Linked DNA regions of Oryctolagus cuniculus. The protein of the gene in region 1 interacts with the protein of each later gene in a pairwise test. Links are inferred from orthologs where the notes say so. Each region holds a gene or a part of one and is shown on either strand. Other genes may lie near its edges.

Evidence for each region.
Region 2: the proteins of tyrosine-protein phosphatase non-receptor type substrate 1 (region 1) and NOL3 interact in a two-hybrid assay, tested with the Homo sapiens proteins (2 studies listed by BioGRID and IntAct). The two-hybrid records come from large-scale screens. The link is inferred for Oryctolagus cuniculus from reciprocal best matches to the Homo sapiens genes SIRPA and NOL3.

Annotation. Positions count from the first base shown.
Region 1 is NC_091442.1:27,611,749-27,615,550, forward strand, and holds part of tyrosine-protein phosphatase non-receptor type substrate 1, read left to right. Parts: intron 1-979; coding exon 980-1,300; intron 1,301-1,861; coding exon 1,862-2,194; intron 2,195-3,802. UniProt on the Homo sapiens protein: Immunoglobulin-like cell surface receptor for CD47. Acts as docking protein and induces translocation of PTPN6, PTPN11 and other binding partners from the cytosol to the plasma membrane.
Region 2 is NC_091449.1:50,465,382-50,469,225, forward strand, and holds the start of NOL3 (nucleolar protein 3), read left to right. Parts: upstream 1-939; 5' UTR 940-1,223; exon of another isoform or gene 1,224-1,316; intron 1,317-3,171; exon of another isoform or gene 3,172-3,291; intron 3,292-3,416; 5' UTR 3,417-3,424; coding exon 3,425-3,719; intron 3,720-3,844. Other genes in the region: HSF4 (heat shock factor protein 4), read left to right, coding at 131-282.

The DNA.
Region 1 (3,802 bases):
ATGATTCAAAATATGTGATGGGTGTTGGGGAGCAGGTTGAATACTCACAGGAGCAAATGCCTGTGTCCCCTGTGGCCTGACCTCTCCCACATAAAAGCTGGGTGTGATCTTAGCACTTTGGAGACCCCTGCAGGAGCTGGCTACAGGGAGGGGCTGCCCTGGCTCTTCTGCCTCACCCAGTGTGTGCTTGCGGGAGGTGCTTCTGCCGGCTCGGGGGCTGTGCCTGCGTCTCCTGGAGCTCAGGAGCCACTGGGAAATTAACCGCCTTGGCTGTCTCGGCACTCAGTGATCTTTGTTCGCAGTCCACAGCGGGCTCCGCGGAAGACCCCTCGCCCTTCTCCCCTCTCAGGGAGGCCCTGGCACAGATTGGGCCCTGCTGGAATGTTTGTGGGAGATGCAGAGTAGACTCGCTACTCCCCGGAGGGAGAGCTCTGGATAGAAGCAGACCCAGGCTCAAGGGAGAGACCCGTGACGTTTGTTTCTGTGGCGCACCTTGGGTGCCGTCTCCAAAGCCTTGGCTTCTGTAACCCTCGATGCAAGTCTGGAGGAGAAACGCCTGCCGTCCCATTTCTCAGAGGCCAGTGGGGTGTGTCAGGTCCACCTCCTGGGCCCGGTCATCCCAGGTCCAGCTGTGAGGGCAGAGAGACTGCCCAGTGCCCCCTGCATCTGCTTCTAGAAACGCTTTGAGGTTTGCAAGGTTTCCTGGGGAGGCCGCTGGGAAGAGTTAGCACAGAGGAGAGGGCAGCTGTGATTCTGTTCCCGGGCAGGGCTGGAGGGAGTAGGCCTTGCAGAGGACTTGAACTCAGACTTGGGAGTGCCCCTGTGCGTGCCCTGCCTGTCACTCACTGTCTGGCCTTGGGAGACTCCGCGACCCCCTCTGTCCCCCCAGCATGATTAGAAAGATTGACGTGACGTGAGTGAGACTGCCTGTTGCCAGGTCATCATGATCCTCTTTCTTGTCTGAATGCTCCTTTTGTAGCCAAGCCCTCCACCCCGAAGGTGTCGGGGCCTGGGGCGAGGTCCACCCCGGAGCAGACAGTGGACTTCACGTGTGAGTCCCACGGCTTCTCCCCCCGCAACATCAGCCTGAAATGGTTCAAAAACGGGAACGAGCTCCCGGCCTTCCAGACCAGCGTGTACCCCGCGGGAGAAAGCGTCTCCTACAACGTCACCAGCACCGTCAAGGTGGCCCTGGCTTCCAGCGATGTGCACTCCCAGGTCATCTGCGAGGTGGCCCACATCACCCTGCAGGGAGGCTCCCCTCTCCGTGGTACTGCCAACTTGTCTGAGACCATCCGAGGTAGACGATTGCACCCCCACCCCCGCCCACACCTGGCTGCCGTGCCTGCCCCTGCTGGCTTTGCTCTGGGGCCTGAGTTGCTGCCTCTATTCCCAGCAGCCCTGCCCACTGGCCCCGTACCAGTCCACCCCAGTGGCTGGCGTGCCAGTCTCTGTCCTTTGAGTGGCAGCTGCCGGGTGAAGCCTGGTTGCACGCCAAGTGCTGTGCCAGTTACTCCTCTCATTCTACCATTCCAGAATATTCTGCAGGTGCTGAGCACCTGTGTGAGCCAAGCCCCTGTCTCTGCAGTGGCCACGTTCCTCCTGCATCCAGGGTTTGGGCTTGTTGATTTCACTCGCTGCTACCCTTAGGGAGCTCCCTGTCTCGAGCACCGCCTGTGTGCTGGGCACCATGTTTAGTGATGTCACGCATGTGCAGAGTCCCCTCCATGCTGAGTGCCTGCTGCATGCCTGGCCCTGTCGCGGGGGTGCCCTGGCCCTGGTGGTGGGAGCCGAGTTACTCGGCCCCTCCTCCAGGATCTGCCTGTCCCGCAAGCTCAGAGCTTCTGCCCTGCTGTTTCAGTTCCCCCCACTGTGGAGGTCACACAGCAGCCCATGGGGGCAGGGACCCAGGTGAACGTCACCTGCCACGTGGACAAGTTCTACCCCCGGAATGTGCAGCTGAGCTGGCTGGAGAATGGAAACGTGTCCCGGACAGAGACGGCTTGGACCCTGGTGGAGAACAAGGACGGGACCTACAACCGCACGAGCTGGCTCCTGGTGAACTCCTCCGCCCACAGGGAAGATGTGGTGCTGTCCTGCCAGGTGGAGCATGACGGGCAGCCAGCGGTCACCAGAAGCCACACCCTGCAGGTCTCTGCCCCGCCCAAGGAGCAGGGCACAGACACCAGCCTTGGTGAGGCCGCCCCTCCAGCTGGCCTGGCTCTTTTGAAATGTTATCTTAACGTAACCCCCCCTTTTTTTTTTTAATGTTACAAGTAGTAGCCATGCATATTATAGCATTATCTGGACATCTGTAAACATTGAACAGGTTTTTTTTTTTTTTAATTTTGTTTGAAAGATTTATTTATTTTATTTTAAAGGCAGAGTTACAGAGAGGCAGAGGCAAAGAGAGTGAGGGAAAAATCTTCCATCTGTTGGTTTACTCCCCAAATGGCTTCAGTGGCTGGAGCTGAGCTAATCTGAAAGCTGGAGCCAGGAGCTTCTTCCAGGTCTCCCATGTAGGTGCAGGGGCCCAAGCACTTGAGCCATCTTCTGCTGCTTTCCTAGGCCATAGCAGAGAGCTGGACCAGAAGTGGAGCAGCTGGGACTCGAACCAGCACCTATATGAGATGCTGGCACTGCATGCGGCAGCTTTACCCACAGTGCCAGCCCCTGAGTAGAATTTCAAAGTTGGCTCACTCCTCCAAATCCCATACTCCAAGGGTTATTACTGCTGTGAGTTTGGGACATGTCGATATGTCATAATGAACCTTCTGCCATCAGCAGCTGTCAAAACCAGGGGTGGGGGTGTCCATTCTGTTCCTGGGGTCCTGCCGCCTGCCCTTTCTACCTGACAGTTGTTCCTTCCTCTGTGCCTCCATGCTCTCTGTAACCTCTGCCAGCTCTCTTGGGTCCCGCTGCAGGCCTGCCCCCTGGGAGGGGGGCGGGGCACTGCTTGTAACCATGTGCATCCTTGTACAGATCCCATGCCACGTGCCGGCAGCTCTGTGGGATACACTTCCTCGCCACAGCGAGGCCACTCTCCCAGAGAGAAAGTGGGCGCCAGGGTGTCATTTTCTCAGCCCCCCTCCCAGGCGTTATCAGCACACCTGGGTTCTTCAAGAAGTTTGTGCCATGTGGTGTTAACAGCTAAGTTTCTTTGGGCGCAAATCATTTTGAAATCCATGCATAGAGTGAGTCTTCCAAAAGTTCGTGGAAACGTAGACCATGAAAAGGCTATGCCTGGATTTCAAATAAACATATCTTTAATTCCATTTTTTTCCATCAATCTGGTGAGGTACCCGCGAATTCCTCATGCAAACATTAGCAGCCGGTTGGACTTTGCCACCGTGCCTGGCTGAGGGCTGTGCGTGGCACAACCTTGACAGTGGACTTGCAATAGACACTTCCTGCCTTCTTGCATCCTTTGTGGAGACCCTGAAGCAGCCCTCTGATGTTCTCAGTGCCTGCAGTGGGAGATGGGATGTTGGGTTTCAACTCTGTCTCTGCTGCAGGCTTGCTGTGTATCTTCAGGGGAAGTCAGTGTGTCTCTCTGGGCCTTGGCTTGCTCGGGGCTGTGTGGTAGGAGCTGAGCTTCCTGACGCCCTTGGCTCTGAGTCTCAGCTGCTGGGGGCTTTGCCTGTTGTGTTCAGCACCCATAGCTCAGGACCTGGCACATAGTAGGCACAACATAAATACTGGGAAGGACCAAAGAGGGGGTTAACTAGATAATCCTCCCAGCTATCCAATAAGGCAGAGATTGTTGTCAGCCTCAGTAACCAAAGAGGAAGCAGGCAGGGGG
Region 2 (3,844 bases), on another chromosome or scaffold:
AGCCCCCCGGCTTGGTCCAGCCACCCCCTCACCATGGCAGGAGAGGAGGAGGTTAGGAATGTTTCATCCTCACTGAGTGGTGGGAAGGGCAACCTTTCCTGGCTGCTGAGCACAAACCCACTCTTCCTAGGGAAGGACCCTACGCTGGGGGCCCCGCTCCTGCTGGATGTCCAGGCGGCCTTGGGAGGCCCAGCTCTCGGCTTGCCTGGGGCTTTAACCATTTACAGCACCCCTGAGAGCAGGGCCTCCTACCTGGGCCCCGGGGCCAGTCCTTCCCCTTGAAACCTGCAAGCAAATGAAGCCGGGCTGGCTGAGGGACCAGTCCACAGCGGCACACCCCCTCTCGGCTTCCTGGCGCCCCCTGGCGGGGGGTGAGTGAACCCCCTCTCCTTGACTCCGCGGCCTCTCTCCAGCACCCTGATGAGCCCTGCACATAAATTGCATTTTTTTCTGTGTTTCTGCTCTCTTTTCTCCGTCGACCAGGGAGGGAGCACAGGTGTCCTGGTGATGGAAGGGGAACTTTGCATTCGTAAAAGCGTCCAGGTGCTAGGGCTTTAATGGAAGAATCTCCAGAGAGTCATGGTACTTGGGAAGCGGGGAGGGGGCCAACCCTCTTACTTAGGCCGGGATCCAGGGCTCACGCGTGGCCCCTGCAACCTCTGGGACGCACCCTGCCCAGCGATGCAGCGCTCTGTGACCACGAGTCGGTCGGTCCCCTTCTCTGAGCCTCGTCTGGGACAAGCAGAGAGGAGGGAGGTCGATGAGAGGAGAGCTGTGAAGCGCACTGACAACTGGCAGGCCCAGCGTGGGCGCTGGCTACGTGGGGTGCGGGCCCAACTGCCTCCTCCCCAGCTCATCTCCCGGGGAGCCCCGCGGGCAAGCGGAGCCCGGCTCCAGGTGCTGGGCAAGGACGCCCCCGCCCCCCGCCATTCCCGGCAGCCCCGGCCGTCCCGCCCCCGTCGCAGCTGTTGCTCCCACCCCCACCCCGCCCGGCCCTTTCTGCACCGTCATCTCCCGCCCCGCCGAGGCCCGACCCGTGAGCGGGGCCGCCCGTAGCGGACCCGACTCGGAGCCCCGCTCCTCCCGGCTGGGGGCGGGAAGGGAAACAGATTGGGCGGAACCAGCCTCACCACCCGCAGCCGCCACGAAGGTGGTCTGTGAGCCCCGCCCCGCCCCGCCGCAGGACTCGGCGGCTCCGGCGCTGGGCGCTGGGCGCTGGGGAGGTAAGGGCAGCTGGGCGGTCGCACATGCGCAAAGGCGCCCGCTGTTTCCCACGACCTCCGGCTGCCTAGCAGAAGAGCCGGAGGGTGCAGCAGGTGGGGATGGGGAGTGGGGGGAGGGCGGGAGCCAGCTTCACGTCTCGCCGCCTGGTGCCTTGGGAAGCATCTGGCCTCTGACCCCTGCCTTAACTTCGGGGTTCACCTTAGAGCTGTGAGCGCTGCTGGCTCTCCGCTCCGCACGCCTTGCACGCACAGGGCTGGTCTCGGGGAAATGAGGTTAACATGAAGCAAGTTAGAGAGGAGGGAGACAGGAGGACTGGGCGACGCAATCTGCGCACCCCTCCGTGTTACCCAGAATAAGTGCCGCTCCGCTCTCCCTCCCGGTGCCCGCCGTTGGCCGACCGTCCGAAAGCCGCGTTTTCGCAGCGCAGGGATGTTAGTTAAGGTCAGGAGTGCGGGTATGCCTTGCTCACTGGGATACCCGGAAGAAGGAACTACCTTGGGACACTCTGGCATTGGAGTGGACAAGGGAATATTTGAGTCTTGGGAGAAGTGGAGGGAGGGGAAGGGCACGCCAGGCTTGGGGAACAGCATCAGCAAAGGCTCAGAGGTGCCCGGGACATAGTGACACCACTCTGCCTGGCCGAATGGTGAAGGGAAATGAGGAAGGACCTGGCCGTCAGGGCTGAGGGAGGTGGCTACAGTAGCCAGAGCAGGTAGCCTGGGTTCTCTGTGGTGGGCAGCTGGCACCAAGCGATCTCACTATTGTGCAGGCTGAAGCGATACATTCTAGTCCTCCACACAGTCTCTCTCTAAGCTGGGACAATAAGCCCTCCCCCAGAGGGTTGTCAGTCACTGTGTTGTGTGGGTGGTGGGATGGAGGGGGCGGGGCATTACAGATGAGCTCCACTGGCAGGAGCTGAGGGAGGCTGAGACACGGGGCAGAATCTGTCACAGATGTGGCAGGCAGGGAGAGGCAGGGGGTAGTTCTGGTGCCTGCTCACTTGGTGGCAAGAGCTGACCCTCACACGTGGGAGTGGGGGCAGGAGGCCGGGAGAGTGTGAGCGCACACCAGGAGAGGCAGGACGAGGGCGAGGACTAAATCCCCTCTCCCAGAGGATGCCCAGCCTCATGGAGCCCGCAGCAGATGAGGGTCACCAAGGGAAGACATGATACCAGGGGCGTTGCTGCATGAGCAGAGCCAAGGCAGAGGGATGGGCTGAGGCAGGGAGCCGGCCGAGGCTGACCTCTTGGCCTCTTAAGTGCCCAGGGCCTTGCTAGCTGAGCCCAGCCACCTGAGGGGATTTGGCAATAAATGCACGAAGCATCCATGCATTAATTTCCACTGAATACCTACTGTTTCGTAGAGACACTGTCACAATGAGGAGTTCCCTTGGAGAAAAAAAAAAAAAAAATGATGGTCTGGCAAGAAGTCACGGGTAGCTTTCCTGGGCTGGGCCTTAGGAACTTAGTATCAAGCAAGAAGAGATGGCTGTGAGTCCTGCCCAGGCCCGAAGGGAGACTGCCGGGTCTCAGATGAAGTCAGATACTGGTGGAGAAGATTCAGGTAGCTCTGCCCAGGTGCCAGGGAGCCAGGAAGGGCCATGCAACCAAGCAGGGATTGCAACAAGGTGGGGGTGGCGGTGAGGGGACAGGGGCAGGGACTGTCCTGGGAAGTTGGACCTCAGGGTCAGGGCAAGGTGACAGCAGCAGGCAGGGCCCTCAGCTCCTTGTTCTGTGGATGCCCAGGGAACCCGAGCAGGTAGTACGGAGGCAGGGAGCCCCGTCCAGGGTTCTGCAGGGTCCCGGTAGGACTAAGGGGCGCCACGGTGAGAGAACCACTCAGGAGACGGATGGGAGGGGCCCTGAGTGTGGTTCGGCTGTGGGGCATCCGGTTTATCTTCCCGTTGAGGCGGGAGCAGCTTTGGGAAAGAAAAAGGCTCAAGCGGATAAGCTGTGACGGCACCTGCAAGCCCGGGGCTCAGGCGGGGAGGGCCCAGAGCTGACGTGAGGGGAAGGAGGAGCCTGGGAAGGAGACTGGACAGCCGCGGTCGGAGACGCAGGAGGACAGGTTCGGGCGGGGTCGTGCAGGTCCTGCGTGGTGCAGCCGTCACAGCCACGGGTACCTAGCGGGGCTCTGGGAGCGCAGCCAGCGCAGAACAGCCCCGGCCCTCACTACGTCTCTCCTTCACACAGCCCGGACGATGGGCAACACGCAGGAGAGGCCGTCGGAGACCATCGACCGCGAGCGGAAGCGCCTGGTGGAGACGCTGCAGGCGGACTCGGGGCTGCTGCTGGACGCGCTGCTGGCGCGGGGCGTGCTCAACGGGCCCGAGTACGAGGCGTTGGACGCCCTGCCAGACGCCGAGCGCAGGGTGCGCCGCCTGCTTCTGCTGGTGCAGAGCAAGGGCGAGGCCGCCTGCCAGGAGCTGCTGCGCTGTGCCCAGCAAACCGCGCGCGCGCCCGACCCGGCCTGGGACTGGCAACACGTGGGGCCCGGTGAGCGCGCATCGGGTGGGGTCCAGATGGCGGGGGCGTGACTCGGGGCGGGGACAGGCTAATTGGAGGGCGGAGTTGTTATTTTCCCAAGAAGCCTGAGCTGAGGTGACTGCAGAGAAGTCAAT